Tamandua tetradactyla: one gene and its partners. The protein of the gene in region 2 interacts with the protein of the main gene of each other region in a pairwise test. Links are inferred from orthologs where the notes say so. Each region holds a gene or a part of one and is shown on either strand. Other genes may lie near its edges.

The links.
Region 1: the proteins of CCNH (region 2) and DUSP12 interact in binary tests that used the Homo sapiens proteins (3 or more experiments, as listed by UniProt). The two-hybrid records come from large-scale screens. The link is inferred for Tamandua tetradactyla from reciprocal best matches to the Homo sapiens genes CCNH and DUSP12.
Region 3: the proteins of CCNH (region 2) and ZNRD2 interact in binary tests that used the Homo sapiens proteins (3 or more experiments, as listed by UniProt). The two-hybrid records come from large-scale screens. The link is inferred for Tamandua tetradactyla from reciprocal best matches to the Homo sapiens genes CCNH and ZNRD2.
Region 4: the proteins of CCNH (region 2) and KLC3 interact in binary tests that used the Homo sapiens proteins (3 or more experiments, as listed by UniProt). The two-hybrid records come from large-scale screens. The link is inferred for Tamandua tetradactyla from reciprocal best matches to the Homo sapiens genes CCNH and KLC3.

Annotation. Positions count from the first base shown.
Region 1 is NC_135330.1:14,810,413-14,819,068, forward strand, and holds the start of DUSP12 (dual specificity protein phosphatase 12), read left to right. Parts: upstream 1-5,515; coding exon 5,516-5,898; intron 5,899-8,656. UniProt on the Homo sapiens protein: Dual specificity phosphatase; can dephosphorylate both phosphotyrosine and phosphoserine or phosphothreonine residues. Can dephosphorylate glucokinase (in vitro).
Region 2 is NC_135347.1:43,869,379-43,877,636, reverse strand, and holds the start of CCNH (cyclin-H), read right to left. Parts: upstream 3,505-8,258; 5' UTR 3,354-3,504; coding exon 3,237-3,353; intron 2,700-3,236; exon of another isoform or gene 2,457-2,699; intron 2,435-2,456; exon of another isoform or gene 2,079-2,434; intron 1,629-2,078; coding exon 1,506-1,628; intron 1-1,505. UniProt on the Homo sapiens protein: Regulates CDK7, the catalytic subunit of the CDK-activating kinase (CAK) enzymatic complex. CAK activates the cyclin-associated kinases CDK1, CDK2, CDK4 and CDK6 by threonine phosphorylation.
Region 3 is NC_135335.1:8,949,261-8,956,685, forward strand, and holds ZNRD2 (protein ZNRD2), read right to left. Parts: upstream 2,241-7,425; 5' UTR 1,998-2,240; coding exon 1,901-1,997; intron 1,805-1,900; coding exon 1,653-1,804; intron 1,553-1,652; coding exon 1,468-1,552; intron 1,069-1,467; coding exon 725-1,068; 3' UTR 693-724; downstream 1-692. UniProt on the Homo sapiens protein: Might play a role in mitosis. Antigenic molecule. Could be a centromere-associated protein. May induce anti-centromere antibodies.
Region 4 is NC_135342.1:15,651,331-15,659,101, forward strand, and holds the start of KLC3 (kinesin light chain 3), read right to left. Parts: upstream 3,285-7,771; 5' UTR 3,181-3,284; intron 2,843-3,180; exon of another isoform or gene 2,742-2,842; intron 1-2,741. UniProt on the Homo sapiens protein: Kinesin is a microtubule-associated force-producing protein that may play a role in organelle transport. Plays a role during spermiogenesis in the development of the sperm tail midpiece and in the normal function of spermatozoa.

The DNA of each region.
Region 1 (8,656 bases), on a different chromosome or scaffold from region 2:
TTAGTGGATTCCAATCGTGGGACAGAGATCCTCTTCTCTCCTTTTATTTCCTAAGTACCTCCAGAGAAAGCAACCCAGCTCTCTCTCAAAAGACAGTATTTCCTTCTTTGGACTAATATTCTCCTTTTCTTGCAGGTTGCTATTTTCATTTTGATCTCTATTACTGGAGGCTTAGAAAAATAAATTTTGCAAAGGGGCAAATGGTGCCACCTAGTGGCTAAGAGCACAAATACAGAAGCTGTTAAATTCACAGCTTCAGGAGCTGATTGAGGTATTTTCATTCACCTGGTCAGAGGGGTTCACTGAGGCAGACAGAGTCAGGCTCTGTGAGTATTCAGTAATAACTCAGATGTGCCCTCTACTCCCAGCCTTGAAGGATCTTGCTGTCTTTTTAGGAACAGCCACTTCAAAACAGAACATTAATAAAACTGAGGGAATGATCACAGTATGTTAATAAAACAACCAGGAGATAAACTCTTACTAGTTTTTTTTGCGTTTTCCAGAATATATATATCTATAATTGTTGGCTGTGAATAACTTTAATACCTACTGGCTGAAATAAATAAAATCTACATAGAAAAAAGTATCAGGACAGCCTCCTTCATGATGCCAGCCCCTGGAAATAACCAGCTAACGGTTTGCTACAGTTGATATTTTCCCATATTACATATACATAAGTACTTCTTAAATAAATGGGCTCAAACATACTTTCTATTTGTAAACTAGCCCTTTTTTTTTTTTTTTAATAATATAACTAGCATGGACCAGTTCACATGTTATGTCTTTAAATAGTCACCTAGTATTTTGTTGAGTGGTTGAAACACCATATTTAATCAATCCATTATGGGTAGTCATTTAGATGCTTTCCAGTTTACACTATTATAGACAACGTTGCTGGATAGATGTTGTGTTGGGGTCTGTTCTAGCTTGCTAGCTGCTGGAATGCAATATACCAGAAACAGAATGGCTTTTAAAAAGGGGAATTTAATAAGTTGCTAGTTTACAGTTCTAAGGCCGAGAAAATGGCCCCATTAAAACAAGTCTATAGAAATGTCCAATCAAAGGCATCCAGGGAAAGATGCCTTGGTTCAAGAAGGCCGATGAAGTTCAGGATTTCTCTCTCAAGTGAGAAGGCACATGGCGAACACAGTCAGGGCTTCTCTCTCATCTGGAAGGACACATGGTGAGCACGGCGTCCTCTGCTAGCTTTCTCTCCTGGCTTCTGGTTTCATGAAGCTCCCTGGGAGGCGTTTTCCTTCTACATCTCCAAAGGTCGCTGGCTCGTGGAGTCTCTGCTTCATGGTATTGCAGCATCCTCTGGCTCTCTCTGAATCTCCTTCATTCTCCAAAAAGTTTCCTCTTTTATAGGATTCCAGAAACTTATCAAGACCCACCCAAACGGGTGGAGACATGTTGTCACCTAATCCAGTTTAACAACCACTCTTGATTAAATCACATCTCCAGGGAGATGATCTGATTACAGTTTCAAACATACAGTATTGAATAGGGATTATTCTACCTTTATGAAATGGGATTTTGCTTAAAACATGGCTTTTCTAGGGGACATACATCCTTTCAAACCAGCACAGGGTCCATATGAACACCCACGGGATCCCCCAGACTCAATGATTCCCTAGGAAGATTCACAGAACTCAGAAAATCTGTCCTGCAAAGTTACAGTTTATTGCAGCAAAAGGATATTTATTAAACCAGCAAAGGGAAAAGGCACATGGGTGAAGTCCAGGCACAAGCTTCCAGGTGTCCCTTCCCAATGAGGTCACACAGGGCTGTGCTTAATTCTTCCAGCAACAATGTGTGAAACATGTTCAAAGTACTGCCAACCGGGCAAACTCACCCAAGCATTGGTGTCCAGGGTTTTTATAGTCATTCAGAAAAGCAGCGCCGGCATGATGACCTCAGCACCAACAGTCTCCAGCCCCTTCCTGAAACAGCATGACCCAGGGCCTTAACCATAGAAAAACAAATCTCATTAATCCTAAGCCACTCACATACTGATGGCTACTCTTTTTTGAGAAGCTGATGCTGGAGAACAATAGTACTTAAAAGTCAGGTAAGTAAAAGGAGCCCACAAAGGAAACTGAGAAATTGTAGCCAAAGAGATAACAAAGAAGATTAGTATCTCAGAAGCCAAAGATTGGTGTCTGGGAAGCCATCCCTGTTATGGATTGACTCATATTGTCCACAAAGACATGTTTAAGTCCTAACCCCAAGTCCTGTGGATGTGAACTCATTGGTCTTCCAAAATTTACTGTTTTAAGGTCAACCTCAATTTCACTAGGCTGGAGGGGGGCTCCATTCACTATATGGTGGGGCTCAGCTCTTTATACTGGAGTCCTTACAGGAAAGGGAAATTTGGACTGAGAAGGAGACAGAAGGAGACAATAGAGGTTGAGATTGAGTTATGGATTGCAGGCCAGTCACCACCTGAATGGTACAGATTTCAGAGAAAGCATTTTCACTGAGAAATCAGGATTTAAGGGATGACTTTGATTACTGAATCATTATATAGATTTTCCTTTTTGTTTTCTGGTTTATTGAAGCAGACAGGGAAATTCCTGAAATCTCTAAACTGTAACCCAGCTGCCTTGATTGCTGATAATGATTATATAGCCTTTATCTTCTGCCCCTGTGATTGTAAAAACCTGGCGACTAACCTTCATTTGTAGCCAGTTATCCAGTTTAAAAAAAATATTTTTATTATAAACTGCAAACAAACATACAAACATTCTTGACATGGATACAGTTGATGGCTCACATTATCATCACATAGTTGTGTATTTATCACCATGATCTTTTTTTTTAACATTTGCATCTCTCCAGCTAAAGGAAGAAAAAAGAAGAAACTCATACATGCTATACCCCTTACCACTCCCTTTCATTGACCACAAGTATTTCAATCTACTCAGTTTATTTTAACCTTTGTTCCCCCTATTATTTGTTTATTTCTCATCCATATTTTTTACTCATCTGTCCATACTGTAGATAAAAGGAGCATCAGACACAAGGTTTTCACAATCACACAGTCACATCGTGACTATCATTATACATTATACAATCATCTTCAAGAAACATGGCTACTGGAACACAGCTCTACAGTTTCAGGTACTTCCCTCTAGCCACAGGAATACACCATAAACTAAAAAGGAGATATCTATATAATGCATAAGAATAACCTCCAGAATAACCTCTTGAAACCTTGAAATCTCTCAGCCACTGACCTTCATTTTGTCTCATTTCTATCTTCCCCCTTTTGGTTGAGAAGGTTTTCTCAGCCCCTTGATGCTGAGTCCCAGCTTATTCTAGGATTTCTGTCCCATGTTGCCAGGGAGGTTTACACTCCTGGGAGCCATGTCCCATGTAGAAAGGGGGAGGGCAGTGAGTTCACTTGCTGTGTTGGCTGAGAGAGAGAGAGAGGCCACATGTGAGTAATATAAGAGGTTCTCTGGGAGTGACCCTTAGGCCTAATTTTAAGTAAGCTTAGCCTGTCCTTTGCGGGGATAAGTTTCATAGGGACAAACCCCAAAATTGAGGGCTCCGCCCATTGATTTGGCTTTCCCCATTGCTTGCGAGAATATCAGGAATTCTCCAAATGGGGAAGTTGTATTTTTCCCCCTTTCTCATCATTCCCCCAAGGGACTTTGCAAATACTTCTTTATTCACTGTTCAAAACACCTAGTTATCCAGTTTTTCGACTTTAGAATCTTGTAATCACTAAAGACAGCTCCTAATGTTTATTAATGAAGGGTCTTGGGTCAGCCCAGAACTAACCCACCCCAAGTCCAAAGTAGTCTTGATAACCGAGACTGGATCTAACCAAAGTGGGCCCACCTGACATGCGCAGTAGCTTAGACTTGACCCTACTAGTCACTTAGACCTCATTCTGCCATTTTCTTACATATGTCCCATGGCTAAGCATGTAGTTGATCTGCACATGCTCAATAATTAGGTCACCTCTCATTACATCATCTGGAGCCACAGTACTCATTATCCTAAACCCTGCCCAGCTTTTCTCTAATAAAACTGTCAGAATTACTGCAGTTTGGGGAGACAGACTCTGGGCCGCTAGGCCATCTGCTCTCCTACTATGTGCCTAGTAATAAACTCTTTCTCTCTCTCAAACCCTGGTGTCTCAGGAATTGGTGATTGAGTACATCGGGCAAAAGAATCCGTGGCCTTTGTCTGGTAACAGCATGATCCTACTGACATCTTGACTTTGGACACCTAGCCCTTGAAACTGGGGAGACAATAAGTTCCTCTTGTTTAAGCCAACCAGCCTGAATTAATCATAGCAGTCCTAGCAAACTAAGACACTTGGCATTTGGGTTAGATGCTCCCCATGTGCTCCCTTAGAGCCTTGTCCTTGTCTGTATCATAACACTAATTAGGCTATTTACTTATAGTCTACCCAAACTTTCTCTAAGTTCTTTGAGGGCAAAGATCTCTAATCTTCTTCACATCCTCAGCATCTACGCTAGTGTCTGACACCAGGTGTTTTCATGTTTGAAAAGTGAGAAAGATTGTGTTGATTTAACCAGAAGACTGCTACTGTGACTCTTCCTGAAAAGGCTCTGGGTGAACCTAACTTAGGGAAAGCTTTTGAGATAGAAAAGGGAATAGGGTTGAGAGGAAAGTGCATAATGTCCTTTAAGTAATAAAATACCAACCATGGATCTTTCGTGGCTAAAGTGAGTGACTGTTATTTTTTTTTTTGACCAATTATAGCTTTAGCTTCTCTGGAGTCTACCCTTCCTATAGATAAGATTTATTCAGATACCCAGTCAGAGAATCACCTCAACTTCCTGACAGCGTTCAATTCTGAGCAAAGCACTGCTTCCTTAAAAAAACTCCTCAAAATTACCTAACACAAGCCCAAATTCTACAATAAGACCTCAAAACACCCTTTTACCGATATGTCCCAAGGTTCAGTACAGTTACAGGTGGGTTCCTGATGGTCTCTGGCTGGAAGGCGTTGACATACAAAAGCACATATAAAACACAAAACAGCAAACATCAACAAGGAAAGGATTAACATCCCAATATAAAAAAACTGGCCCCCCGCCCCCCAAAAAAGGAAAAATGCAAGAGACGAAATACAAATAAATGGATATATAGGCATTAAAAAAAACGTTTGACTTCAAATGCATGACATGATGCTGCTGATTCTGCTGGTGAGACATTTATTTCAAAATTGAATGCAGCTGCTCCAGCTGTCCCCTTCCAGAAAGTCTCAACACGAAAAGCCGGGGAAACTGTGTAGATGGGGAAATTTATCCTCTATCATCATATGCGGGGTGGGGGAAGGAGTGAAGGGTTGGTGAGGAACTGTGACCGCGGCTACATGTCGCCCTGAATAGGGTTTAGTTCTGCCACAGCAGCGCTAACTGCTCCTGCAACTTCACATTCCCAGGGTCTTCGCGGTCCTCCGGTGGCGCAGCTGCCACGCTCCAGTCGGCGGGTCCCAAAGGAGGGATGTTCTAGCCAGCCGCTCCACTCGATGGTAGGGACGGCGGCCGCTTGGCTACTGGGCGCCGCCATGTTGGAGGCTCAGGACCCGTGCCATGGCATCCCGCGCCGTAGCCCCTGCTCTGGCGAGGCCTGTGTCTCGGAGCACATGCGGCAAGTGCGGCCGGGGCTCTATCTGGGTGGGGCCGCGGCCGTCGCGAATCCTGACCTTCTCAGGGAGGTGGGCATTACGGCCGTGCTGACTGTGGACTCGGAGGCGCCCAGCTTCACCGCGGGGACTGGGGTCGAGGGTGTACGATGCCTCTTCGTGTCAGCGCTGGACAAACCCGAGACCGACCTGCTCAGTCACCTGGACCGCTGCGTGGCCTTCATCGGCCATGCCCGCGCCGAGGGCCGCACGGTGTTGGTCCACTGGTGAGTGGTTAGGTCTTTGGGGAGAACAGCCCTGCCTCGCTCCCAGCCTGTCCTCGCTGTCCCTCTTCTTCGAGGCCCCCAGGAGAGGATAGATGCCATCTAACGACGAAAACCTCCTTCCACCCCCATCCCGCGCGAGGCCTGATTTGGAGAGAGTTTGGGTCAGGAGACAGGCCCCTGATGGCGTGCAAATCTTCACTCTTTCATGTGTTGGTTGGTTCATTTTGTAGGCAATGTGTTGGTTTGGGGGGAATACTCAGATAAATGACAACGTCCCTGCATCTAAGGAGTTCACAGTTCTGGAAGAGAAGCCAGATACCCAGATAATTGTAACACAGACTAGGATGTGAGGCTTGTACTAAGAAAGAGATCAGACTACAGAGGAAGAGCTGATTATTTTCAATTTTTTTTTTTGGGGGGGGGTGGGTCGTTGATGAAGAGAAGAAATGGGGAGAGAGGGTTATGATTTAAGAATTCCTGGGCCATTCCCAGGGGAAAGACAGGATAGGTTGTGTAGCAAAGGCAAATAAGATAGAAAATTCTGATGAGTATTAGGAAATTCTTAAGTAGTCATTTTAAGGGGGTAATGACTGGGTTGGGGGTAATGATGGAAGTTTAATTTATTGGCACTTAATGTGTGCCAGCACTTGTTCTAAATGTTTACATTTAGATAGTGGTGGATAAAATTGAGAGCTTGAATTCCAAGAGCAGAGGAATTTGGATTTGTTCCAAGACATTACAAATTTCTGAAACATCGGTTTAATTATTTTTGGATAAGATGTTCATGTGGTTCAGAATTCAAAGGGAATAAGATATTAAATGAAAATTCTCCCTGCACTCCTGCTACCTGGGCACCCTTCCCTGGAGACAATAATGTTAACAGTTTCTTATCCTTCTGAGATACTTCATGCATGTAAAAGCAAACATTTGTGCGTGCTTTTTTCTCTTTTTTTATTCACGATGGCATATTATGCAAACTGTTCTGCACCTTGTTTTTCTCCTCACTTAAAACATCTTGAAGATTGTCCCATATCAGGACATAAAAAACATCTTTACATTTTTTTGAGCTACATATTCCATTTTATGAAATACCGTAAGTAATTTAATCTGTCTCACACTTGATGGGCATTTAAATTTCAGTATTTTACAAACAGGCATAACCTTTAACAACCATTTTGCCCACGTGTGAGTATACCTTTGGGGGAATTCTTAGAAGTGGAATAGTTGGGTCAAAGAGTATGTGCATTTGTAAATTTTAGCAGTTGTTGCCAAGTTACTCTCCATTTATACTTCCACTGGCATGGCAGAAAGTTCCTGTTTGCCTACATGGTCTCCAGTAATGTGAAACATCAAGTCTTTTGATCTTTGTCCATCTGAAAGGTAAAAATGCTTTTTTCTTGGAGATTGTTGTGAAGGAAATTTTAAGTGGTAAAATTGACTGATATTACTTAGTGTGTTAGTTTGCAAGCTGCCAAAATGTGATATACCAGAACTGGAACAGCTTTTAAAAAGGGAAATTTAATAAGTTAGAAGTTTACAGTTTTAAGGAAGTGAAAGTGTCCAAATTAAGAGGTTACCTTCACTTGAGAAAGGTCAGTTGGTCTGGAATGCCTTTTTCAGCAGGGAAGTCATGTAGCTGGAATCTGCTGGGTCCCTTGATCCGGGGTTCTCTTGCTTTCAGTCTCTGTCCATGTGGGGGTTCCTCACTTTACTTCTCTGGGACTGGCTTTCCCTTCTTGGCTTCCCTTAGCCCTCTCCAGGTTCTGGCTTGCTTAACATCTCATGGTGACATCTGCTGGGCTCCAAGCATCTCCAAACATCTGGGTCTCTGTTCTCCAAGCTCTGCTCCGAAGTTTCTGTCGGTTCTTTCTCTGCTGACTCTGTTGTATCTGTCCTTTATGGCTCTCTCCAAAATATTTTCTTTTAAAGGGCTCCAGTAAACTAATTAAGATCCACCTGGAATGGATGGAGTCACATCTCCCTCTAATCAAAGGTCACACCCACAATTGGGCATGCCACATTTCCATGGAGATAATCTGATCAAAAGATTCCAATTTATAGTCTTGAATCTGGATGAAAAGAAAGGGCTGTTCCCACAAGATTGGATCAGGATTAAAACATGGCTTTTCTGGGGTACATGATACTTTCAAACTGGTACACTTGGAATTTTTATTTATGCTTTAATATTTAGACTCAGTTAGGCATTTAAAAATTATATATCACTCTTATGCATACTCAAAAGGAAAATACTGTAAAAAAAAAACATAAATTGGTTGTTATTCCTAAAACTATTTCATGTACAGAGCCTAATTCTTTTGAATCATTTATTAAATATTCCCTATCTATAGCAATGACAAATCTGTCACAGTTGTCATCTGACTACATCAGTTGTAAGACACAATTTCAGATGTAGGAATGTAAAAACGTGCCTTTAAAAATAGATGAAATGACAGGTGGTTCAGTGGTAGAATGCTCTTTATGTGGGAGACCCAGCTTCAATTCCTGGACCATGCAACCCCGCCCCCCCCCCCCCCCAAAAAAAAGAGTGAAAATAGGTGAAATGTGGTAATCCAGACATGATATAATGGTGGCTCTGGTCTTTTGAAAATCAGTGATGATGGAGTGCGGGGTCTCAAGCGAGAGATATAATGGTTGAAATCTTTTTATTCCAACAAATGATTTTTTTCTACTCCAGAGGACTATGTGAATGTGGATAATCAGTGTGGTTAAAATGGAGGAGAGTTGGTGAATTCTAGGT
Region 2 (8,258 bases):
ACTGTGTGAAGCATAAAACTATCATTCTATTTTAATCCTTACAACAGCTTGGCGAGGTATTACTATTTTCACTTTTCAAAGAAGGAAACTAAGTTTCAAAAAGGTTAACTGACTTGTTCAAGCTCACACATCTAATTAGGAACTGGGCTGGATTCAATTAAGTCCTGCAGGTACATTTAATAATGCTTTCCTTCCACTACAACCAACGAAATAGCCATTCAATATTTTATGATACAAAAAAAAATTCATTTTCCATATTTTAAAAGCTTACTTTTGTCATTTATGTAAAACAAAAGTCAAAATTTTTTATGAATCATAAATAAGCATGTCATATAAAGACAAATTTCACCAAAAACTTCAACAAAGGAGTAAGTTTCTTCATCTGGAAAGATCATTTAAACCTATTACCTAATTTCATAGTCCTTTTATCAGAAAATAGAGCCAAACCTGGATACAGAAACTAATCATGTATATCTAAAATTCTTCCTGCATCTGATTTCTCACATGAAGGTCTGGTAAACTAAGAAAAAGAAAATACTGTGAACACTTTGAGACTTTTTATTTTCAAAATATCTCAATTTTTTTCAACTATAAAAATGGAGATTATTTCCTAGGGCAATATTCCTATTGGTCATAAGTTAGTCACTCCATTTAATATTAACTTTAAAACTTAACACTTTCACTTAAGATAAACAATTTTATTTGATCTTCACAACATATGTGTGAGATAATAAACTAGGTAAAAATACTTTTACCCCCCCTTTTTTATCTTTACTCTCAGCTTTTCAATCTCAGCTGTACTATAAACAACTGCTCAAACAAGAATACACACATAAGAACAATTATTGGCACAGTATATATATATATATATATATATATATATATATATATATCCATGAAGCAAAATGTTGTTTCTCACCACTACGTTTCCCACTCAGCAAAAAATAAACATCAACAACAAGGTCCACAGAACCAAGATTATGATATAACCATAAAATACTTTTAGAATCAAAGCCAAATCTCCACCTTTTATCCATCAAGGTTAAAAATTATAAAACCCTTATGACATGAGCTTCAACTGAGGCATATTATAACATAAGTTGGGTATGACAGAGTTGTAAAAGCACTAGTCTATGTTCTATTGCTATTAGTTGAGAGCTAGAGGGAAAAGAAATTTAATTTTCTTTCTCCATAAAATGAGTATGTCATGACCTATTCAGTAGACATCAAAATTCTTTTGACTACAAAATGAGACCTGGGACATTTTTTAAGATCCAATATAGGAATTAATGATTTCAGGAGTTTATTGAAAAATATGTAAAGTGATGACAACCGCTGAATGAATACATAAATTAAAAATACATAAATAGTTATATAACTAGGTGCATTTTTGAGAGAAGAGTAGGTACAGAATTGAGTTGTAACATTAGGAAAGGGAGAATTTGAAGAGGTCAGATTCCATAAACCAGCTAACAGACCATTATTTCATCTCCTCCATAACTTACCACAACAGACCTTGGCATTGCTGGCTTAAACACTGAACAAAATTCCAGTAATCTTTTTTCATAGTATTTGCAGAGTGTCATTTCTTCGTGAGGCTCAAGAAAGACTGGATCATTTGGAAGAACCTTTGGATCAAAAGTTACAACACATTTTTATTGAATTAATCTTAAAATATTTTTCTCTGTCCTGATTAATTTTAAGGTATGTCTCCAACCAAAAGGAAAGCCTATCATGCCTCATTTTTTCTATATGGAATTACTAATTATTATACAAAATAGCTTTAGGAAGACATTTAATGAACTAAATCTATACCTCTATTTCACAATTTCTCAGAATGTCAGCTGGCCACTTGCTTCATTCAAGTATAAGCAATCATGGTGGTGTGTGCGCAAACGCTCACAAGTTTAATGTCACCATTATTAAAAAGAAGATACACATTTACGAAGGTTGAGAAGCTTTCAAGATCGCTTTTGGGTCAATCATTACAGCACACAATTTTAGGCTAAAAAAACAATAGCCTAATTGTTTTTTCAAGGTCAATAGTCTTGAGGATAATCCTGACCTTGAAAACTTACCTCTTACATATCTTTGTAAACCCTCGACAGAATACAGGAGGTGGTTAAAAAATATTACAAATTTGCAAACATTGATTAGGTGCTAGTTTTATAGAGACGATGGTATTCTGATACTATATCGCTTGGATTTAAATCCTGACTCCACCTCTTACTAGCACTGTAGCCTTTGAAAGTTATTTACTACCTCACTTTCCCTGTCTGTAAAATGAATATAATGGCATTATTTCATGGGGTAAGTGTAATGGCTAAATACCAGTTGTATTTTAAATGCTTAGAATAGTGGCCGGCATAACACAATATGCAATATTTTGTGTAGCATGAGAATCGGTGATGTGAAACAGACGTGAATAAAAAGATAGATGTAAAGTAGCTCAGTACTAATACTTCCGCGGCATCAAATACTAGCTGAAGGCAAGCTTGTGTTAGAAGGCAGTGGGGAACTCCTCAAAAAGAGTAAGCTGAAGAGGTGGTTGGGAGCTGTAACAGGAGGGACTTGTCTGACGGGCCACAGTCCGTCCAAACCATCAGTCAACTGGTTTATTATGCCAACGTTCTCCTGTCTCCCAGACTCCACTCTGCCTTATCCAATCCATTCACCACCCTGTTGACATAGGGCTCTTTCTAGAACAGAAACATAGTAAGGTTAATTTCCCATTTTAAACACTCCGAATTTTCCTTCAGTATGAAATGCAAACTCTTTACTTCCACTTATAAGGTACCTCCCACACCTCCTGCCATTCCTGCACGGGTATATCAGCTTCGGCCAGAAAAGACAACGAATATACCCCGAACCCACTCTGCAGCTTCTTTCTCCCCTGGGCACCGGTGGCTCCGCCCACCTACAACGCACTCCTGCGCCTCAGCTACCGCGAGAAGCCCTCCCCGACACCTCCACAGGCCAAGGGGGCGCCTCTCGCCTCACACTGCCTTCGCATCCGGCAGTCTCTCGGCCGTGTTACAAGGACTGGTCACTCGTCTTGTCTGCCCCTCCACTACAGGGACTGTGTCGTCCGACACTGTACCCAGAGCACCTGGCAAGGTTCTTGGCTGTAAACTAAACAGATCAGGCACACCGTGTCGCTGAGACAGAGGCGGGAGGGAGCGCGGGATGCCTCGGGTTTAGGACGCGGAGTTGGGGGCGGCCGCCCGGAGCCTCACCTTCCCGTTCGCCACGGCTTTGCATTTGAATTTGCGGTTAGCGTCAGCCCTTAGTCGTGCCAGCTGCTCCTCACTGGCGAAAGTCCAGTGCCGCTTTTGGCTACTGTTGTGATACATCCTGGAGCCCGACTCCAGGATCTGGGGGCGAGAAAGAAAAAAAAACAGAACAGCAACACTGGCTAAGCTACCGCCATGATCCCGCGAAAGCCAAGGGCGCCAGGCCAGACGGCGCAGGCGCACTGACGTCACCACCACGTGCCGGCCCGGCGCTGCAGTTGTGTTTCCGGAGCTTGCACTGTCGCCTGGCAGCCGTCTGTGACGTCAGTGGGCGGGGTCTACGGAGACGCTCCTTCCTTCCTACAAACTCCGACCCTAGCCCCGCCCTCTCCAGGCCAGAATTAAAGGAGAAGCAACAAGGCAGGGATGGGTGAAAGGAACCTGCATTGAGGTCGGGGGAAGGCTGACTGAACCAACTCACATGGGATAATTAGAAGTGGGGAAATGGGTTGAGAGGGTGTGAGTTTTTAAATAAGGTATCCAGAGTAGGTGTCGCTGAGAAGGTGACATTTGAGCAAAGATTTGAAAGACTTGAGGGAGTAGGCCAATTAGTGATTTAGGGAAAGTTTATGGGGCAGAGAGAACCGTGCAAAGATGATAGGACTGAGGCATGCCTGGCTATTTTAGGGATGATTCTGCAATCCAGTGTGTCTAGTACACTACCGTGCATCTTGGCCCCAGAGAGAATGCAACATGGTCGGAAAACTAGAAGCTGTAGCTTTCTGTCCATCTTTACAGTTCCACTGTAAGTGAGATTCCATCTATTCTCTTTCTGTGACTTTCTCATTCCCTTTGTATTAACAGCTAGCTAATCTACTCATCCTATTTCCATCTTTTAGGGCACGATGTATGGTGGTTGTAGCGTTTTCTTGAGATTCCCATCTTCATTATTGTCCTGGGAGAGCTTTCCAACAAACTATAATTAATGTTTAAGAGATTTACAATTTTTTAGAAATTACTAGGCCTTTCATAATTGCATCTGAGATACTAATTTACACTGATTCCAAAAGTCGTTAATGGTTTCCACATTTATCCCTTTTTCTGTGTAACTTATTCTCCTGTGAATCAACAAGATGAATTTACCTGCAGCAAATAGTTTTTCTAAAAACAAGTGAAAGCAAATAAAGATGATGAAACCCAGAGACTTTAGCTCTTGAAAAGCACAGGCAAGTAGAAAGAGGTGGCAGGCAGGGTGACTTCAAGTCTGCTTTCTAAGAAAATATTTTTAGAAGTTTAAGAAAAGAAGAGCCTTTTTTCTTCTTGATTGTTTCATTTTTGCTGAGTACCATTGAGGGTAGGGTTTGCTACAGTTATTTGAATTCATCAAATTTATATCATTTGTAGTTCATAATTTTGGAGATGTAGACATCCTTGGACACAGAGTACCGACGTGTCCAAGGGTTTGCTACAGTTATTTGAATTCATCAAATTTATATCATTTGTAGTTCATAATTTTGGAGATGTAGACATCCTTGGACACGTCGGTACTCTGGGCTTGCAAATTGGCAGAGAAAAGAGGGAAAAAAGAGGAAGAAGATGGGATGGTATGAAGTAAGCACGTGATAGATCATGAGTCCAAGGAATTGTGAACACCCTAAATTGTATAAAAGGGCAGGAAGAATAATTTTAAAAGAAAAATCAGACAGGTACACAAGGACAGGAAAAGAAGGCAATTTAGATAATTGAATCTATGTATAAAATTTAGATCCCTGACAATTACATACACCATATTGTGCTGAATGTGATGGACCCCAGAAAAGCCATATCCTTTAATCCTCTTTCACTATTGCTGACTGGGAGCATTTTGACTGTTCCCATGGAGATGCAACCCACCTAATTGTGAGTGGTAACTTTGGATCAAATAGCTTCCATGGAGTTGTGACTCCATCCGTTAATCCTTTAAAGAGGAAACATTTTGAAAAGAGTCCCTTCTTAGAGCCACAAGGCTGAGAGAACCACTGAGTCCACCAGCCACTGACTTTTGGAGATGAAAGGGAGAACACCCCTGTGAGAGCTTCATGAAACAAGAAGCCGGGAGAGAAAGCTAGCAAATGATGCCATATTTGCCATGTGCCCTTCCAGCTGAGAGAGAAATGGTGAACATCATCGGTCTTCTTGAACGAAGGTATCTTTCCCTGGATGCCTTAGATTGGACATTTCTATAGACTTGCTTTAATTGGGACATTTTCTCGGCCTTAGAACTGTAAACTAGCAACTTATTAAATTCCCCTTTTTAAAAACCATCCCATTTCCAGTAAATTGCATTCCAAAAGCTAGCAAACTAAAACAGATTTTGGTACCAGAGGAGTCGGGTGCTGCTGTGGTTTGCAAATATCAAACATGTTGGAATGGCTTTTTAAATGGATAAGGGGAAAATTTTGGAGGAGTTGTGAAGAGCTTGATAGAGAAGCTAGAATGCTTAGAAGAGACTGTTGGTAGACATGCGGACTTTAAAGATACCTGTGACCAGGTATCTTTTTGATTGGAATTTGACTGGAAGGCAGATTTTAAAAGCCATAAACTTGGATATTTAGCAGAAGAGATTTCCAAATTAAATGTGGAAAGTGCAGCCTGATTTTTCCTCCCAGCTTATAGTGAAATGCGACAGGAAAGAGATAGGCTGAGAAGTGAACTCTTGGGTACAAAGGACCCAGAAATTGAAGTTCTGAAAAATTCTGGGCCTCCAGAAAGGGAAACCCCAGAGGATAGTGCCCCACGTGAGGATTTAACCAAATGTGGAAAGAGCCAGTCATTTCAGAGAAAGCCAGGCCCGGACATGGAGTTATCCAGGAAGGATTTGTGGAAATTCCTTATGTTTGATGGACATGATCCAAGGCTACTGCATAGAAAACCAATGAGAGTGTTGCAGAATCTGTATACAGAGAACCACTGCCAGTCAAGACTGAGAGGGACAGGGAAGGACACAGTGAAGGAAAAATAACTTCAGAGGCAAAGCCATGGAGGCTAGGGTCTGAAGTCAAGAAGCCTCAGGACAGGAGAGTGGACCCACCTAAGCACGTGAAGAGGGTGAGTTTGTCCCAAAGGCAGAAGATGGGCCCTCCATCTTGTTGCAGTGGAAGAATCCTCCCTCCTCAGGCCTTGGAAAGGGCAAAGCACATTCCTTGGAGTTGGGGAGAGCCGGGCTGCCACTACATGGAGGGGTTGAGCATGTGCCCTGGAGATGGCAGAGAGCCCAGGTGCAGCCTCAATGCTTGGAGAGGATGGAGCTGAGAAAAAGGTGGTCACCCCAATGTTCCTCAAGGTTACATTCAGAGAGAGGCATACCACTGCTTAGACCCTTGGAAAGTGTGGGACTGCCATTTTCTAAAACCCAAAGGATAAATGACTCTTAGACTTTGAAATCTAATGGACTTTGCCCTGAGTGTATCTGAAACTGTTTGGGTCCTGTGACCCCTGTGTTCCTTCCAATTCTTCCCTATGGTAATGGGTATATGTATTTTATGACTATTCCTCCTTTGTATGTTGGCAACAAATAACTTGTTTTGAGTTTTTTTTTTTTGAATCTTATTTTTCTTTATTCTAGACTTTTCATTGTTTATAGGGATTTGTGCTCTACAGGTTCTTTATAATTGCTTTTTTTATTAATTAAAAAGATTAACTAACAAAACATTTAGAAATCATTCCATTCTACATATACTATCAGTAATTCTTAACATCATCACATAGTTGCATATTCATCATTTCTTAGTACATTTGCATCGATTTATAAAAAGACAACAGAAAAAGAAATAAAACAATAATAGAGAGAAAAGAAAAAAAACCAAAAAAACAAACAAAAAACCACTATATCTCACATGCAGCTTCATTCAATGTTTTAACATAATTACATTGCAATTAGGTAGTATTGTGCTGCCCATTTCTGAGTTTTTGTATCCAGTCCTGTTGCACAGTCTGTATCCCTTCAGCTCCAATTACCCATTATCTTACCCTATTTCTATCTCCTGATGGTCTCTGTTACCAATGACATATTCCAAGTTTTTGTTTTGAGTTTTTACAGGTCCAGAGCCACAGGAGGATTTTACCTTAGGACAGACCATGCCTGTAACTAACTTTGATGAAATTCTATACTGTGTCTCACTTTGTATTTTTATTCTTACTGAAATGGTTTAAGGCTCTCTGATATTGTTATGGAATGAATGTGTTTTGCATTTGGAAAGAACATGTCTTTTTGGGGTTCAAAAGGTGGAATGTGCCGGTTTGAATCTGTGATAGACCCCAGAAAAGCCATGTCCTTTAATCCTCATTCAATATTGCTGGCTGGGAGCATTTGGATTGTTCCCATGGTGATGTGCCCACCCAATTGTGGGTGGTAACTTTTGATCAGATGGCTTCCATGGAGTTGTGACTCCACCCATTAATTCTTTAAAAGATGAAACATTTTGGAGAGAGTCCCTTCTTAGATCCACAACATTGAGAAAACCACAGAGTCCACCAGCCAGTGACTTTTGGAGATGAAGAAGAAGAACGCCCTCATGGGAGCTTCATGAAACAAGAAGCCGGGAGAGAAAGCTAGCAAATGACGCCATATTTGCCATGTGCCCTTCCAGCTGAGAGAGAAATGTTGAACATCGTCAGCCTTCTTGAACCAAGGTATCTTTCCCTGGATGCCGTAGATTGGACATTTGTATAGACTTGCTTTAACTGGGACATTTTCTTAGCCTTAGAGCTGTAAACTAGCAACTTATTAAATTCCCCTTTTTAAAAGCCATCCCATTTCCAGTATATTGCAGTCCAGCAGCTAGCAAACTAAAACGCATGTCGATTCTCTTCATTTTATTTTTCTGAAGGACATTTGACAACTCCTTTAGTTTTATGTAAAGGGAAAGAAAAATTAGCATTTGGGGGAAATGGCAGAATGTAATTTCCACAGGGGAATGGGTAAAATTGCGAACTGTCATATTCATTTAGGAAGACAAATATGAAAAACCTGGTGTCACTGGTGTA
Region 3 (7,425 bases), on a different chromosome or scaffold from region 2:
AAAATGGCAACGGCCGTGGGCCCACGCCGCACTAAAGGTGAGATCCGGAATAGGAGGTCGGGCAGAAAGAGCAGGAAAACGATGGAGGAGAGGGGCAGACACCAAAAGGGGCGGGCATGGTTTCCTGATGGTACTCCTTGCCCTCCTCCCCAAGCTGTTCTTAATCATTCTGTCCAGTTATTCTCCCAAGGACATAACCTGGTACACTGCTACACACGCATCATTAGGTGAGAAGGACCAAAAGTGGGAGTCAGGAGATGGCTCGATCGTGCAACTTGATGTCAGGGTCACCACAACCTCCTGCAGGGTATGACTCTATGGGGCTGGCATGAGGTGGGAGAGGATATGGGCTCAGGATGCAAAGGGGATCGAGATCTCACTCACAGGCAGGTAATGAGCAGTGGAGGATGGGGTGCTGCCAGGTCCAGGCTGGTGGCCCACCCATCTTCCTCTTGCCTTTGAGGAAGCTGTGGCCCACACCCCAGAAAAAGGGTTCTCATTTTGTCCATTCTCTCCCCCTTCACCTTCTGACTGGGGAATCTGAGCAGAAACAAGCTCACAACCCATCTCTCAGAGACATCAAGGAAAGCAGATGGGGGAAGGGTGGGAGGCCAAAAGGAGGAAAAAGACAAGTGGAGCTGGGGCTGGGACACACACTGAAAACCAAGAAAAGAACCACACACATGAACAGGTGTTTTTCTAGAGGGTTTTTCTCAGGGGTGTCTCAGTGCTGCAGCTGCTGCAAGCTGTGCAAGGCCTCAGCACAAGCCCGGATCAGACCACAGAGCTGGATGCTCGTTTCCAGGGAGGCGCTAGAACCCAGCTCAGCTGAGGCCCAGGTCAGCTTCTGCAGAAGAGCCCCCTGTGTGCAGGCCAAGACATCTGCATCTGGAGGCACTGCCGCTGGGGGTGGCACCTGGGCTGCCTTGAGCCCTGCTGCAGCTCCCTCACAGTGCTCTGGCCGGGGTACCGGAGGCTGAGTAGCAGGTCGACAGCCTGAGGGGAGCTCCAAGGCAGAAGCCAGCTGGTGCTCCCGAGCTTGGGAGAGGGCTGCCTGGGCATTCAGAGCTAAATGAGGAAAAAGCAGGTGGAATGGTCAGAAGTCCTGGCCCACCATAGCCCAGAGCCACCTTCTCTCTTGACTGCTCTGCTCTTTCTGTTCTTTAAGTATTTTCTGTACTCCTCTACAAAGCAATTCATCCAGTCTCTATTTTGTGTCACAATTATTTATGTCCTTGCTTTATCTCTCCCATCAGGACTTTGCCTGATAAAGTTCAGACTCTCCCACTGCGTCTCGCATACAGGAGGTGCTAAGTGTTCTTACTGAATGAATAGTCCTCTTTAGAGCTAAAGGAGAAAGCACCTTACCTCTGCCCACTCCCAGACTCCACTGTCACCTCTCAGACCTACTGTCCCCAGGCCTCCATCGCCACGATTCTTTCCTACCAAGCACACTCGGGCCCTCACCCGGATTATCTTTATCCACGTCTGAATCGAGCTCCTGACAAGCCACACAGTAGATTTTCCGCTGTTTGTCTTGGAGGAGGATCGTCTAGGGGTCAGAAAGCACACGGGGCAGGAGTGAGGCGCTGGGCGATAGGGTGCAGAAGGAAGAGCTGGGGAAGGGCCCAGCGGCCAGGTTCTCGCCTCACCCCGCAGTCCGCGCACGTCTCGCCCAGCATGCGGTAACCGCGCAGCAGGTAGTCGCCCATGAGCCGGGAGATGCGATCCTGTCGCTCCCGTCGCGCCTGCAACACCTTTGTCTCCGCCTCCGTCGGGGGCTCCCAGGAGAAGTCGTCGACTTCTGGAGGAAGAGAGGCATAAGGGGCCGGGGGCTCTTGCCGGAACGGGCTGACTCCAGTACCCCGCAGCCACAGGCCCCCGCAGCCTAAGTCCTCACCAGCGCCGTTTAGGGCCATGTTGCCGTTGTCGCCGCCGAGCTCACCGGAAGTGACGCACAAGCCCTGCGCCCTCCGCCGCGGCTCGGGCGCCTCCATGTGGGGCTGAGGGCGGAAATGGGGCAGCCGAGGGCGCCTCAGGTCGCGCGCTGCCCTGAGTGGGGCGTTTCTGGTCGCAGACTTGACCGTGCCTTGGAGGAGCGCCCGGCAGCTGCAGCCCAGTGGGCGGCGACTTTTCGACGGTCGAGGCCAGCGGAGGAGCGGAAGTGGTAGGAAACACCCTTGGCGTGAGAAATCCGCCTCCCCTGGGGTTTTTCCTTTCCGGATAGGCGGGGCGAGCAGCGACGTCATCGCAACGACAAACGACAGTCATAGCCACGAACCGCCCCTGCGCGCGCGTGGAGCCTGTCGGGCCTCCGTGCTTCTCACTTCTCCATCGGGGCGCTGGGGAAGGAGGCCGCCTATTGCTTGGTTGACCATACGTTTTGGTCAATATGTGTGCTGTCAATTCACTTGAAATTCCCGCAAATAGTGTTAATCAGGCCGTTTAAGAGCCTCATCCTTCCGCCTACAGAATTGTCAGCATCCCTTCCTCATTGCCTGAACTGTCAAGGAGGGTGAAAGGTCTGAGATTTTATCCTACTTGCCGGCTAACAAGTTAGCCTGCAGTTTAATGGATGCTGGCACGAGCTTCGAGTCTCCTGGGTCAGAGACAAGGAACTTTATTACTCACTCATAGCAAGCAGCATGAACAGGACCATATTTGCGTCAGTTCCCTTTACCCTGGAGTCTTAAGAAGGCAGTGCTGGTGGAACTAGATGGACCCATAACCATGGGTTATGTTACAAGAGAGGAACCCTGTGCTTAAGGAACCCAAATATTTTATAATGGGCTTTAAGTATATCTGCCCTTGGCTCTAGAGCACCAACGACGATGGTCAGGCTCAGATGAGGGTGTGACAATTACGTCGTGGCTGTCGGAGGCTGAAAAAGTCCAAACCTCTGCTCCCCAGTCAGCTGATCTGCACACCATGACTCCTGCAATGGCTTTACCATCAAGACTTCTGAGAACTTTCTATGTGCTATCCCTTGTCAAGAATTGTGTGGAGAATGCCCTGAGGGAGCTGGGTGCTGGGGCAGTGGGTGCTGGGGCAGCTGCACCCTCCTGCAGAGGCTGCCCAGAAATGCACCTTAACCAGGAAGCAAAAACTCTCCTCCAGCCTTGCCTCTCCAGCGCCCTCTTCTGACAACACTTAACATTGTGTCAACAGCAAAAGAAAACTAAAGGGCCCAGGTCCGAATGCACAGAGCAGAGAAAGAGAATAAATTTGGAGCTGAGAGACAATAAATTAATAATTGGCACAAGATCATTAGTATCATTTTACAGGTGAGGAAACTGAGGCTCCAGAGAGGGGCAGCAGCTGATCCAAGCCTGTGCTAGATTTTGAATTCAGGTCTGAACCTGAATTCACAGCTCTGCTCTTCAAAGCGTTTAGAAAGCAGGTTGCAAAAGATTATCTATGGGGGGTGCACAGGTGGTTTAGGTGGGTGCACGGGTGGTTCGGTGGTAGAATGCTCACCTCCCATGTGGGAGGCTCAGGTTCGATTCCTGGACCATACACCCCACCCAAAAAAAAAAAAATTAAGGAAAAAAAAGATTACCTATGGTACAATTTTGTGGTGATAATTCTATGACCCATAAATGTGCATATATTCCCCAGCCTGGAGGAATACACACCAAAGATCAGTGGTCCCTTCTGAGACATAAGGATTACAGGGAGTTCTCCTTGCTGTATTATTAGGTTGAACAGCATGAAGTTGCTGTGTTTGTAGGTTAAAACCAGTCAGATATTGGTAATGCCATACAGTTCAACATATTTATTTTTGTGATGTAATGTCTGAAGTTTTCATTATGAGTAAGGCCTCCCTCTGACTTTTGTCTGTGGTTGCATATTTTCCCTCATAATAAACTAGAAGCTTTAAGTTTAACCAACAGAGATCCAAAGACTTTGGGGGAAAATATCTGCTGTTTAACCCACTGAAATATACCAAGAACCACTTGTTAATTGGCCATGATTTGTTTGTGACCAACCATAGGAGAAAACTGTCATTCATGTTCTTTCTGCTTGTTACATTTACACTATGAAATACAGTTGTTCTATGAGGATGTTATCTTTTTATAGAAAAACTGCCATAAATCGATGGTAGAACTTATGCGACAGTTGATCAGATTTCATTTTCAAAAGTATTTGAATTATGTTTTGTCCTAATTTTATGTCTCAGTATTGAGAATTAAAACAGTTCAGCGTCTTCACAAACCGTAACTTTAAGGGAATAATTCTTTTGCCATTATTTCCCCCAAAAAAATGGTTCTGTGGTTTTTGTTTGTTTTTGTTGTTTATTAGTTAATTTTAGCAAATATGATGCCTAAAAAAGAAGGTGCTCGTGATTCAGGCCTATTGTGGTAGGCAAGAGAATGATCCCAAAAGATCCTAATTCCTGGAACCTGTGACTATGTTTCATGACAAAGGAGGAATTCAGGTTGCTAATCGGCTGACCTTAAAATAGGGAGATTTTCCAGGTGGCCCAATGTAAATCGCAAGGGACCTTAAAGTATTAAACAGCTGAATATACGTTCCTCTCAAGTGCACAGGAAACATTCTCCAGAATAGACCATGTGCTAGGCCATTAACCAAACCTAAACACATTAAAAAGGATAGAAATTTTACAAAATATGCTCTCTGAGCACAGTGGAATGAAATTAGAAATCAGTAACAGGAAGAGATTTGGGAAACGCACAGATACATGGAAATTAAATAACACACGCCTTACTAACCAGTGGGTCAAGGAATAAATCATAAGAGAAATTAGACAATACCTTCAGGTGAATAAAAATGAAAGTACAACATACTAAAACTTAAGGGATACGGCCAACGAAGTGCTTAGAGGGAAATTTATACCCATAAGTGCCTGTATTTAAAAAATAATAAAAGATCTCAACCCAATAACCTAACCTTCCACCTTAAGAAACTAGAAAAAGAAGAGCACACCAAGCCTCAACCAAGCAGAAGAAAAGAAATAATAGAAATCAGAGTGGAAATAAATGAAATAGAAAAGCAATAGAGAAAACTAAACCAAGAGTTAGTTCTTTGAAGAAATCAACAAAATGGACAAATCTTTAACTAGACTGACTAGTTCAAGCCTGGGTCAGCCAAAGGACACAAACCTTGTGGCTTCAGCTGGAAAGCCCTGTGGCTGAATCAGAGTTCCCAAAGGTGAAATCCATGATTTCACTGATAATGGCCTTGTCACCTGACAGAGGAGTTTGGATGGTGATGTTTTCAGCTAACAGTGGAAACATATCTGGCTCACTCAGGCAAACGGCCACAGCGAGAGCCAATTTACTGATAAGCCCGGCTGAATTCAAGCTGTCGATGGAGTCGGCACCACTCACAGCCTCACCATATCTGCCTGTCTCATCATCTCTCCAGATTTTTAAGGCAAAGGCTACTACTGCATGCCAGGCAGTGATTCCTGCCACAGGTTGGTCTGTTTCTCTTGCAGTGATGGAGGGTAAACAACATTGCCACTTTCTACTCCTGACAGGTTGGCTTTATGGGACCTTTACCTGCCTCCTGGGGCTCTAGACAGTGTCTCACCACTGTTGTCTGTTTTCCAGGTTAAAGTGTTGCTGTTGCAGCACAATCAAGCAACTCAGGCCACCTCCTTGTGGTTCTTACAACTACACTGGCATGTTTTTAGGTTTCTGGACCATTTCAAGTCTAACAATGGTGCACCTTTTATCTCAAGAGCCTTCCCTTCCCTGCCTCAGATATATGGTCTTGTTAAGCCTTGAAACGGCCTCTGCAAAATCTACTCAGAAACATTTCTGGCTTCCCCTCTCTCATCTTCTCCTGGTCCACACACCTCAGTGAGGCAGTTTGATCACTGAATGTGGCTGTCCCAGGGAAGGGATCATCTCTTCTTGGTCATGTTACGGGAAACCATCAGGATGAGAGGGATGAGAGTTTAGACAGATCAGCATTGACCATTCCTGGGCAGGATGCTTTCTTTACCCTAACAGCAGCCCCTGGCCAGCCTGGGTGGTAAGCCCTGCACATGGGAGCCCCATCCTTGGAAATTCAAACTTAACTGTGGTCCAATCACCTGGATTCTCTTTTTGGACTGACATGGTCCTAGATCGGGAGGATAAGTGGGCCACCTGGTTGAGTACCCCTCTCTCTGCGTTCCCCAACAGTGGCCCATATGTAGAGTGAGGGACGTGGGTCTCTCTAAGTTTTATAAACGCCCTTATCCTTGTTGCACCTGGACCTTCTGGATGCAAAGTCTGGGATGATTGAGAAACAGGTGAATTTATAGCTCCGGAATGGGACATATGGATTTTGTGGCAGGGGAGAGAACAACCTCAGTAGCTGGGTAAGGAACACTCCAGACTCTGGGAGATGGAAAAGGAGGGACATTAATGGCCATTGTTTTCAGAACCACCCCTGGGGACATCTTACCATGAATACACCTAGGTCCAACTCTCCCAAACCACTGCAAGTGCCTTAAACTTAACTGACTAGGCGATCTGTCAGTCTTCCACTAGACAGTTCTGACCCTGAGTTGATTGTTACTCACTGAGCCATGTGGAGACGCTGGAAAGAGCAGGGAGAAGCCTTAGCTCCTGCCCCACCCAAAAAAACCATCTGTCAGCACCAGATGTCTTCCCCACCCTATTTCCATAGCCCTCATGCAGTCAGCCCGTGGAGTGGACAAATGCCACCTAGCTGGTGGCATGGACAAATAGGTCAGATTGGACCATCAGCCCTCAGTATCCTCCAAAAACGAGAACTAAAACTCAATTGTTCAAGTCGAACTGGAATCCTAAGGCCACGCTGGAGCACTGCCAACCTGTGTGTCCAAATGATGTCAGGGGACACAGGTTGACAGACACCTGGGGGAAACCCATGCCTCTTCCCTGGATCCTACGTGTGCTCCGAGCCTGGGCTATTTGTGTGGAATTCACACATTAACCTGCCTCTCTCCCAAAAACAGTGGCTTGAAATTTGTTCCTGACTTTAGCAGACATGATCACACCTTGGCCTGGAAGACATTTAGGTCAACCTCAATTCACTGACCGTGGTTGAAGTCCCTGGACTTCTTCCTCACAGGCCAAGGCAGAGTCTGCACAATCATTAACATATCTTGCTATACCTGGATCAGTGCTTTGGGCCAAGTGGAAAGGTTAATACAGAGGCTTACGGAGGAAGCCACCTGACTCTTTAAGGTACATCTGATGTTGTATGGGATTTGTTCAGCTGGGAAGCCTGGGGTCCCACAGTTGAGTCCAATTCCACCCGGTAGCCTCAACCTGCTGCTGGAAGTTCATGGATAATAGCTTTAATTAAATGCTTTGTGTGACAAATTGAACAGATTTGGTCCCTACCTGTTGACTAGATGCATCAGTTTTGCCAGTGAAGTGGTAAAATTCACCCAAAGCCAAGAACGGCGTAGAAATGAAGGAT
Region 4 (7,771 bases), on a different chromosome or scaffold from region 2:
CTCCACTCCCATTCCAGCCTGCAGGACGCCCCCCAGCCCACTGCAACCTCTCCCTGTGCCACTAGGCCCTCCTCATCCCAGCCAGCCCCCTGCCTCCACACCTGTCCTAGACAGCCCTTATCTGGAAACATTCTGGAAGCTTTGGGGACAGGTCCAAACTCCGCCATGTGTAATTAACCAAGAGAGGCATGCAGCAGGCTCGTGGCCCCCACACCTCCCCTGGCTCACCTGGCCACTCCTCCCCACCCCAAGGACTCTGGATACTCTGACCCAGAACTCCCAGCTGTGGGACCTGGACCGGGCACCCTCCTCTGTGGGGCGTGGAGCCAGGCAGGGAGCATGGAGGCGGCAGCCTCTCCATGAGCTCATTGTTAGAGTGTTTTTGCTGGAAACCAGTCAGACCACTGGCATGGGCGGGGTGGGATGGAGAGGGCTGAGAGGCTGGGGTGCCGGAAGTAGAGGAGCTCTCTAGATTGGGGGACCAGGCGGGGGGGCGATCTGTGCCCCCATGTGGCTCTGATGGGGGAGACTGACAGACCTGGGGGGAGCAGGGCCCCCACCCTCCACCACATACACGCCCAGTGGCCCAGGGCGTGTGGGGACATGCGTGTGGCAGGCGTGGCCCACGGATGTCACACTGGCCCCATGACAGCCGAGGGTCCGAGGCCCTGATTGCAATGGGTAAGGTTCTAATGCGGGTGGTAGTGGTGGCTCAAGGTCACCGATCCCAGCTGTTGGTGCCTGTGTGACCCTCAGAGACACACTCGCATGCACACACGGCCTGCAGGAAACATACCACGACATGCACACGCACACTCCACTCTCTTCTCAGAAATTCAGACAACACATTCTCCTTTCCAAAACACAACCCAACACACACACTCTCTCCTTTCTTTGAAACACCACACAATACACACACATACTCTCTTCCCAGATACAACGTGTACACACACCGAGTGCACACTATCCTAGAAATATAATGCCACACACACACTCATGCACACCATGTTCTCCTTTCACAGATACAACCTAATGTCATACACACACACACACTCTTCTCAGAAAAAACACACCATACTCTCCCCTCCTGGAAATACAACCCAACACTCAGGGTCATTCTCTAAACGTAAAAGCCAACACGTGCAGAAACTCTCTCCTCCCCCTTCCCCTTATCTTGGAAGATCCAAGTAAATCCCCTCTCCCTCATATTCCGAGGGTCTCTGGACCTCCTCACCTGCCCCCATGCCCCATGCCCCCTCCCGCCTGCACAGGGCCGCCAGCAGCCAACGCCCCCTCCGACCCTCTCCCCCAGATTCCTCATGGACAGGTCTCCACCTCCCCCAATTTCTCCAGCCTGCCCCCTCGCCTGGCCAGCCAGGCCTTCATGCCCCTACACACATGTGCACATGCACACCACACGTGCAAGTCACCCCTGAACTTACTTAGCTTATTCCCCCTGCTGGAAGTAGGTTCCGCCAGTATAGATGGCAGCTAACACTCAGAGAAGGCAGTTCCACAGTCACACTCAGCACATGTCACTGAAGCCACAGGGACCCCATAAGAGCCTGGGAGGCCGGCACCTTCTCCACAATCACAACCACACACCCTTGGACACACGCAGGCAGGAGGGCTGCCCTGCAGGCATTCTGTGCCCTGATGGCTGCCGGTCCACCTCTCTCCCTCTTTCAACACGTGTACGTGTGTGTTCGTCTCACACAAACCACACGAACAGTCAAACCCAACCGCACAGGCTCCTCAGCAGTCACCCCGACAACCACAACCGTGCGTCGCCCGGTCCTGTGGACTCAGCCCGTGCGCTGCGAGGTCATATGCAATCTCAGCCATAACTGAGCTGCATGTGCCCGGGGGGTGACTGCAGAGTTCTGTTTCCAGACACACCGTCCCCCTCATCCAGCCCCCACAGCAGGCGGCCACCCGGGTGACAGGATGGCAATCACGCCCTGCATGCAGAGCGCCAATGCGGATACCTGCGTCTGCCCTGTCACACCCATCCCAGCCTCATTCCCATGGGAGCCAGGGGACTGTCTCGCCCACACGTCCCTCAGTCTGTCCATCCCCACCCCCCTGTCTCCCACACTGACACTGCCTCAGGCCGCGGCACAGCACCTCCGTGCAGACACGCTCCTCCCTGCCTTCGCTCCACACACACACAGACACACCCCTCACTCTACCCACCCACAGTTACACGCACACCGTCCCATGCTACAGTCCAGCCTCCATCAGCCACACACAGGGACATGCCACCACCTCTCCCCCAGTTCCCTCACACATACACACACACACACACCATCCTACAGGCACAAACCTACGGTTACACACCTCCTGCTCACATTCGCACACACAGCTGCACACAGGCGTTGCTCAGAGACACACAACCAGACGGTGCCTAGTCTTGTATTATTCATCCTGACCTAGGGCTGCTCCCGTAAACAGCCCAACTCCCGAGACACACACACACACACACACACACACACACACACACACACACAGCCATCAGCAGAAAGCTGACCAGCCCCACTACACAAAGTCCTAGAAACAGCCCAACTTCCCAACACACACACCATCAGTCACAACCAGAAGGTCATCCACATTTTCACCTCATGGATCACACAACCCACATCATCCACGCACGCCCTCCACCCGCAGGCGGTGACCCAGACGCTTCCTCTCCCGTTCACACGCACACCCACAGCCTTATACCATCACACACTCGTACACACCCCAAGGGCCTCGGGCACCATCTCTCAGACACACAGGCGGGCAGGAGGCTCCAGGCCGCCCCGGCAAGTCCGCACCACCTTACTCCCGGCGGGCCGGCCCAGTACCCCGCGCCCCGGCCTCCCCGCCCGTCACAAGGGACTCCCTCTCTCCCCCTGCCCCGCACCCCCTCCCCAGGCCCCGCCCTGCACTCGCGGCTGTTTACCTGCGCGCGGGGGAGTGGGTGCGGCGCGGGCCGGGCCTCCAAACCCCCCTGAGCGACCCCAGGGCGGGGCAGGGGGCGCTCAGGGACCGCGAGGCCCGTCCCCGACGTCAGGGGAGCGTGCCCAGGAGGGCGCCCAGCCCGGCGCCTCTCCCTCCGCCCCCGCAGCCCCTCCCACACCCCCATCTTCGCGGTCCCCCGGGACTCCCGGCCCGCCCAGCCCGCCAACCTGTGCCCACCTGTCCGCGGACGCCTCCGGGATCCGCTTCGCCGCGCTGCGCCCCGCCCCACCCGCGCCGCACCCCGCTCCCCGCTGAGCCCGGCTGAGTCCCGCGTCTCCGACCGCGGCGTCACCTGCGGGGGGCGGGGCGGCCAGGGAGCCCCGCCCCCCGCAGGTGAGGCCGGCCCCGCCCCCCCGGCCCAGAAAAGTGTAGACCCGCTGCGCCTCCCCGCGGGAATTGCAGAACTGTCGGTGCACGTCGGGTCTGAGGATGATCCCAGCGCGCTGGGGGCCTGGAAAAGAGGGGCCTCGGCTAAGCTAGCGTCTCGGAAACTTGGAATCTCGGACGCTTGGGATCCCAGATCCATGGCCGCTGCGCTATGCCGGCCGCGGGGCTTCTGCTTTGGTTGCGCCCGCTGCTTGGAACCGTCTTCCTACAGATCTGCGGACAGATCTCGCTGTGGTCGGGTCTCTTATCAGAGGTTGCCTCCTCCGAGAAGTCTTCAGTGACCACTCCGTCTAAATTATCTTCCCACCAAAATACTACTTCATTTCCCTGCTTGATCTTGTTCACAAAATTGTCTAGGGCCTGAAGTTATTTTATAAACACATCATTTCACATTTATTATGTTATAACATTTATATCATATATCATCTCAGTTATCATATTATATTAGATTATTAGAGAGGGGAGGTAATATGATGGTTAAAAATATGGGCTCTGGATTCAAATCCTGATTCCAGCATTTACGGACTGTGCAGTTCTTGGGTAATACTTTACCTCTCTATACCTCACTTTCCATTCTGTAAAATAGGAATAATCAAAGGGTTATTGTTACATATGGACAGTACGTTTATCAGGGTCGGGCATATGGAGACACTTAGCAAATGTTAGCACTGATTGTATACTATTATAATTATTGGTACATTTTCTTCCATTTCTAGAATTTGTCAGCTCCTGACCTTGTGTATTGTCAGAAGTTTATCTTTAGCACTAGAACAGAGCCTGGAGCTTATTGGGTGCTCGATAAATATTTGTTGAGTGACTGACTAAACGAATCAAACCCTAGAATCATAAAATGGTCCAAGCTTGGTGCACAGGATTTTTACCTCAACTCACGCTTTTCCAAGCATCTGCACTAGGGGCTGCTTCCAGCAGAGGGCGCCTTGGGACCGTGAACCAGGCTCCCGACTTCAGCGCAGGTCAGTTATCTCCCACGGAGCCACAGCCAACCTGTTGCTTCCTCTCCTCCTCCAGGAAGCCCTCTCTGATTTCCCAGGCTGGGTCAGACATCCTTTTGGGGGTCCTGCAGCCTCCTGATCTCCCCCATCCCAATCCTGCCCACTCTGGGTTGTAGCTGTCTAGGAATGGGTCTGTTTACACCACGGGACAGGAGCCCCCTATGGAAAGGAAAGACCAAGTCTGTCTCCCATCACTGCCATGTTCCTAGCACGTCCAAGTACAAGTGAAGGCACTGGGGAGAATGGTGGTGCCTAAATGATGGAATGCACAATCTAACTCTTCCAGAGGGGGCTGGGAGGGATAAAGGGACAGCTGAGCTCCCCTCCTTACACCCACTCCCATGCTTTTGGCCTCAGGACACTGTATGTTGGTTCTGCACACAAGGCAGGGTGGGTGATAGACTGGTGCAAATCCCAGCTCGGCCATTTACTGGCTGTGTGTCCCGGAGCCGGGAGATAACCTCTCTGGGCCTCGGGCTCCCCATCTGTAAAACAGGACTTGTGAGGGTAATCTACTTTATCAGGCTGTTGTGAGGGTTAACGAGTCATCCCGAGAAAAGGCTTAGGAGACGGTGGTGGCACACAGCAGATACTACATGTGTGTGGGGAGGGGTGGGGGGGCCAAGGGACCTGGAGCCAGGTAGATCTGAGTTTGAATTCTGGCCTTGTCGTTTCCTTGTCATGTGACTATGCAAGAAATGACCTCATTCTGAGCCCATGTTTCCTCCTCTGAAAAACAGGGATGATCAGGTTTACCACACAGTATTGTGGAAGGATTCAATGAGGGAAAGGTTGAAAGAAGAAAGTTAACTAAGGCAACCATCTCTTTAGGCTGGCCCTGTGCCAAGCAACTTTCCCTCACACCAATGAGGGCTGGTGTTTCTGAGTTCTTAGCCACACCCAGGTGCTGAGCCAAGCTCTCCTACCAACCCTACGAGGCAGGTGCTAGGATTATCCCCATTCCACAGATGAAGAAGACGAGACACAGAGAGGTTGAGTAGCTTGTCTAAAGTCACACAGCCAAGTAGTAGCAGAGCCATTAAATCCATACAATAGTCACCTGAGGTAGGTACCATTATTAGTCCCACCTAAGATGAAGAAACTGAGGCTCAGAGAGGAGAAATAGGTTACCCAAGTCCATATCCAAGAAGGCAGTCAACAAACACCCCATCCTGTTCCATAAGGCCTCAGTTTGCCAACTCAGGAAAATGGGTGGATGGGTCAAGGATTTTCTTTTTCACCTCTCATCCAGTTTTTTTTTATTTTCTAACATTTTTAATTGTGAAAGATATATACACAGAAAGGAAAGAAAAAGCAACAATTTTCAAAGTGCACTTCAACAGAATAGATTTCAGAGTTTGTCAGGGGCTACCACTCCATTATTTCATATTTCAGATTTTATCTTCTAGCGGATCCAAAACACCGGAGGCTAAAATCAGTGTAGTGATTCAGCAGTCATATTTATTTGTTAAATCCTATTTTCTCTGTCATACCTCTTCCTTCTCCTTTGCTCCTTCTCCCAATCTATAGGGATCTTTAGGTAATGCTGGTTCTGATTTTTTCATGTTGAGAAGGAGTCTCAACACTAAAGGATAGGGGGATGTACTTAAGATAACCTTGGAGAGGCTGGTCCCTCTGGTGTTTCAGGATGTATCTGGCCCGGGAACCCTCTGGAAGTTATAGGTTCCAGGAAGTCAAAATTAGTGTGTGAAACTTTTATAGCGTCTCCGCTCCAGCCCTAGGTGTTCTGAAGAGTCAACAGGAGTGATGCTGGTTGGGGGTTAGCAAACCATGGCAATCAGCACTCTCCAACCGACGCTCAGGTAACAGTAGCCTCCGGAATAGCCTCTTGACTCCATTTGGTCTCTCAGCCACTGATGCCTTATTTTATTACACTTCTTTCCCCCATTTTGATCAGGAAGGCTTTGCCGGTCCCTTAGTTTGGCCAGTTTAAAAAAAGTCTTATTTTTCCCCCCTTAATTGAAAAATTTATGCACCGTCAGAAAAAGAAATTCACAGAATATAAAAGGAGTGAAAAGTAGGTCTTCATCTCTTCTTTATTTATTTATTTATTTTATTAATTAAAAAAATTAACTAACACAACATTTAGAAATCATTCCATTCTACATACGCAATCAGTAATTCTTAATATCATCACATAGATGTATGATCATCATTTCTTAGTACATTTGCATCGATTTAGAAAAAGAAATAGCAAGACAACAGAAAAAGAAATAAAATGATAATATAGAGAAAAAATTAAAAATAAAAAATACAAAAAATATATATAAAAAACAAAACAAACAAACAAAAAACTATAGCTCAGATGCAGTTTCATTCAGTGTTTTAACATAATTACATTACAATTAGGTAGTATTGTGCTGTCCATTTTTGAGTTTTTGTATCTAGTCCTGTTGCACAGTGTGTATCCCTTCAGCTCCAATTACCCATTATCTTACCCTATTTCTAACTCCTGATGGTCTCTGTTACCAATGACATATCTTCATCTCTTCTTGATCCCTAGATACCTTCTCACATACCTTCCAGAGATCTTCCACGGCTTTGGGCTGTGTGCTGATATAGGAGTGTGTGCGCCCATTGAAGTAAAACAAGTGAGGAAACACCTCTCCATGGAGGTGGGCTGAAGATTCGTTGGCCTTGACTTTGGGCTTGGCCACGTGACAACTTTGCCAGTTCTACGCTTAGGCCTTCGGAGACCTTGCATGTTTACTTTCATGCGCTGGCATCATCATCAGAAGTGTTTCTCCTACGTGGCTGCTCCCCCTTTAGCCCACACCCCACGGTGGAGATGTGGGGGACAAATTTCCCACCTGAGCTCAACCCAATCAGCCAACCCTCAGCTAATCCCACATCCATGAGAATAAATGGTTGCTGTTTTAAAGCCACTGAACTTTTTGGGGGGAGATGTGTTTCATAGAGCTTTTGTGGCTGTAGGCATATCGGGTTTTTTTTTTTTTTTTTTTTTTTCACTTAGCATGTATAGATCTGTGTGCTGGCTTGAAAGGATGTTTGTCCCCTAGAAAAGCCATGTTTTAATCAAAACCCACTTCATAAAGGCAGAATAATCCCTATTCAATACTGTATATTTGAATCTGTAATCAGATCATCTCCCTGGAGAGGTGATTTAATCAAGAGTGGTTGTTAAACTGGATTAAGTGGAGGCGTGTCTCCACCCATTTGGGTGGGTCTTGACTGGTTTACTGGACTCCTATAAGAGAGGAAACATTTTGGAGAAAGAGAGATTCAGAGACAGCAGAGAAGAACGACATAGCCACAAGAAGCAGAGAGCCTACAAGCCAGCGACCTTTGGAGATGAAGGAGAACACCTCCTGGGGAGCTTCATGAAA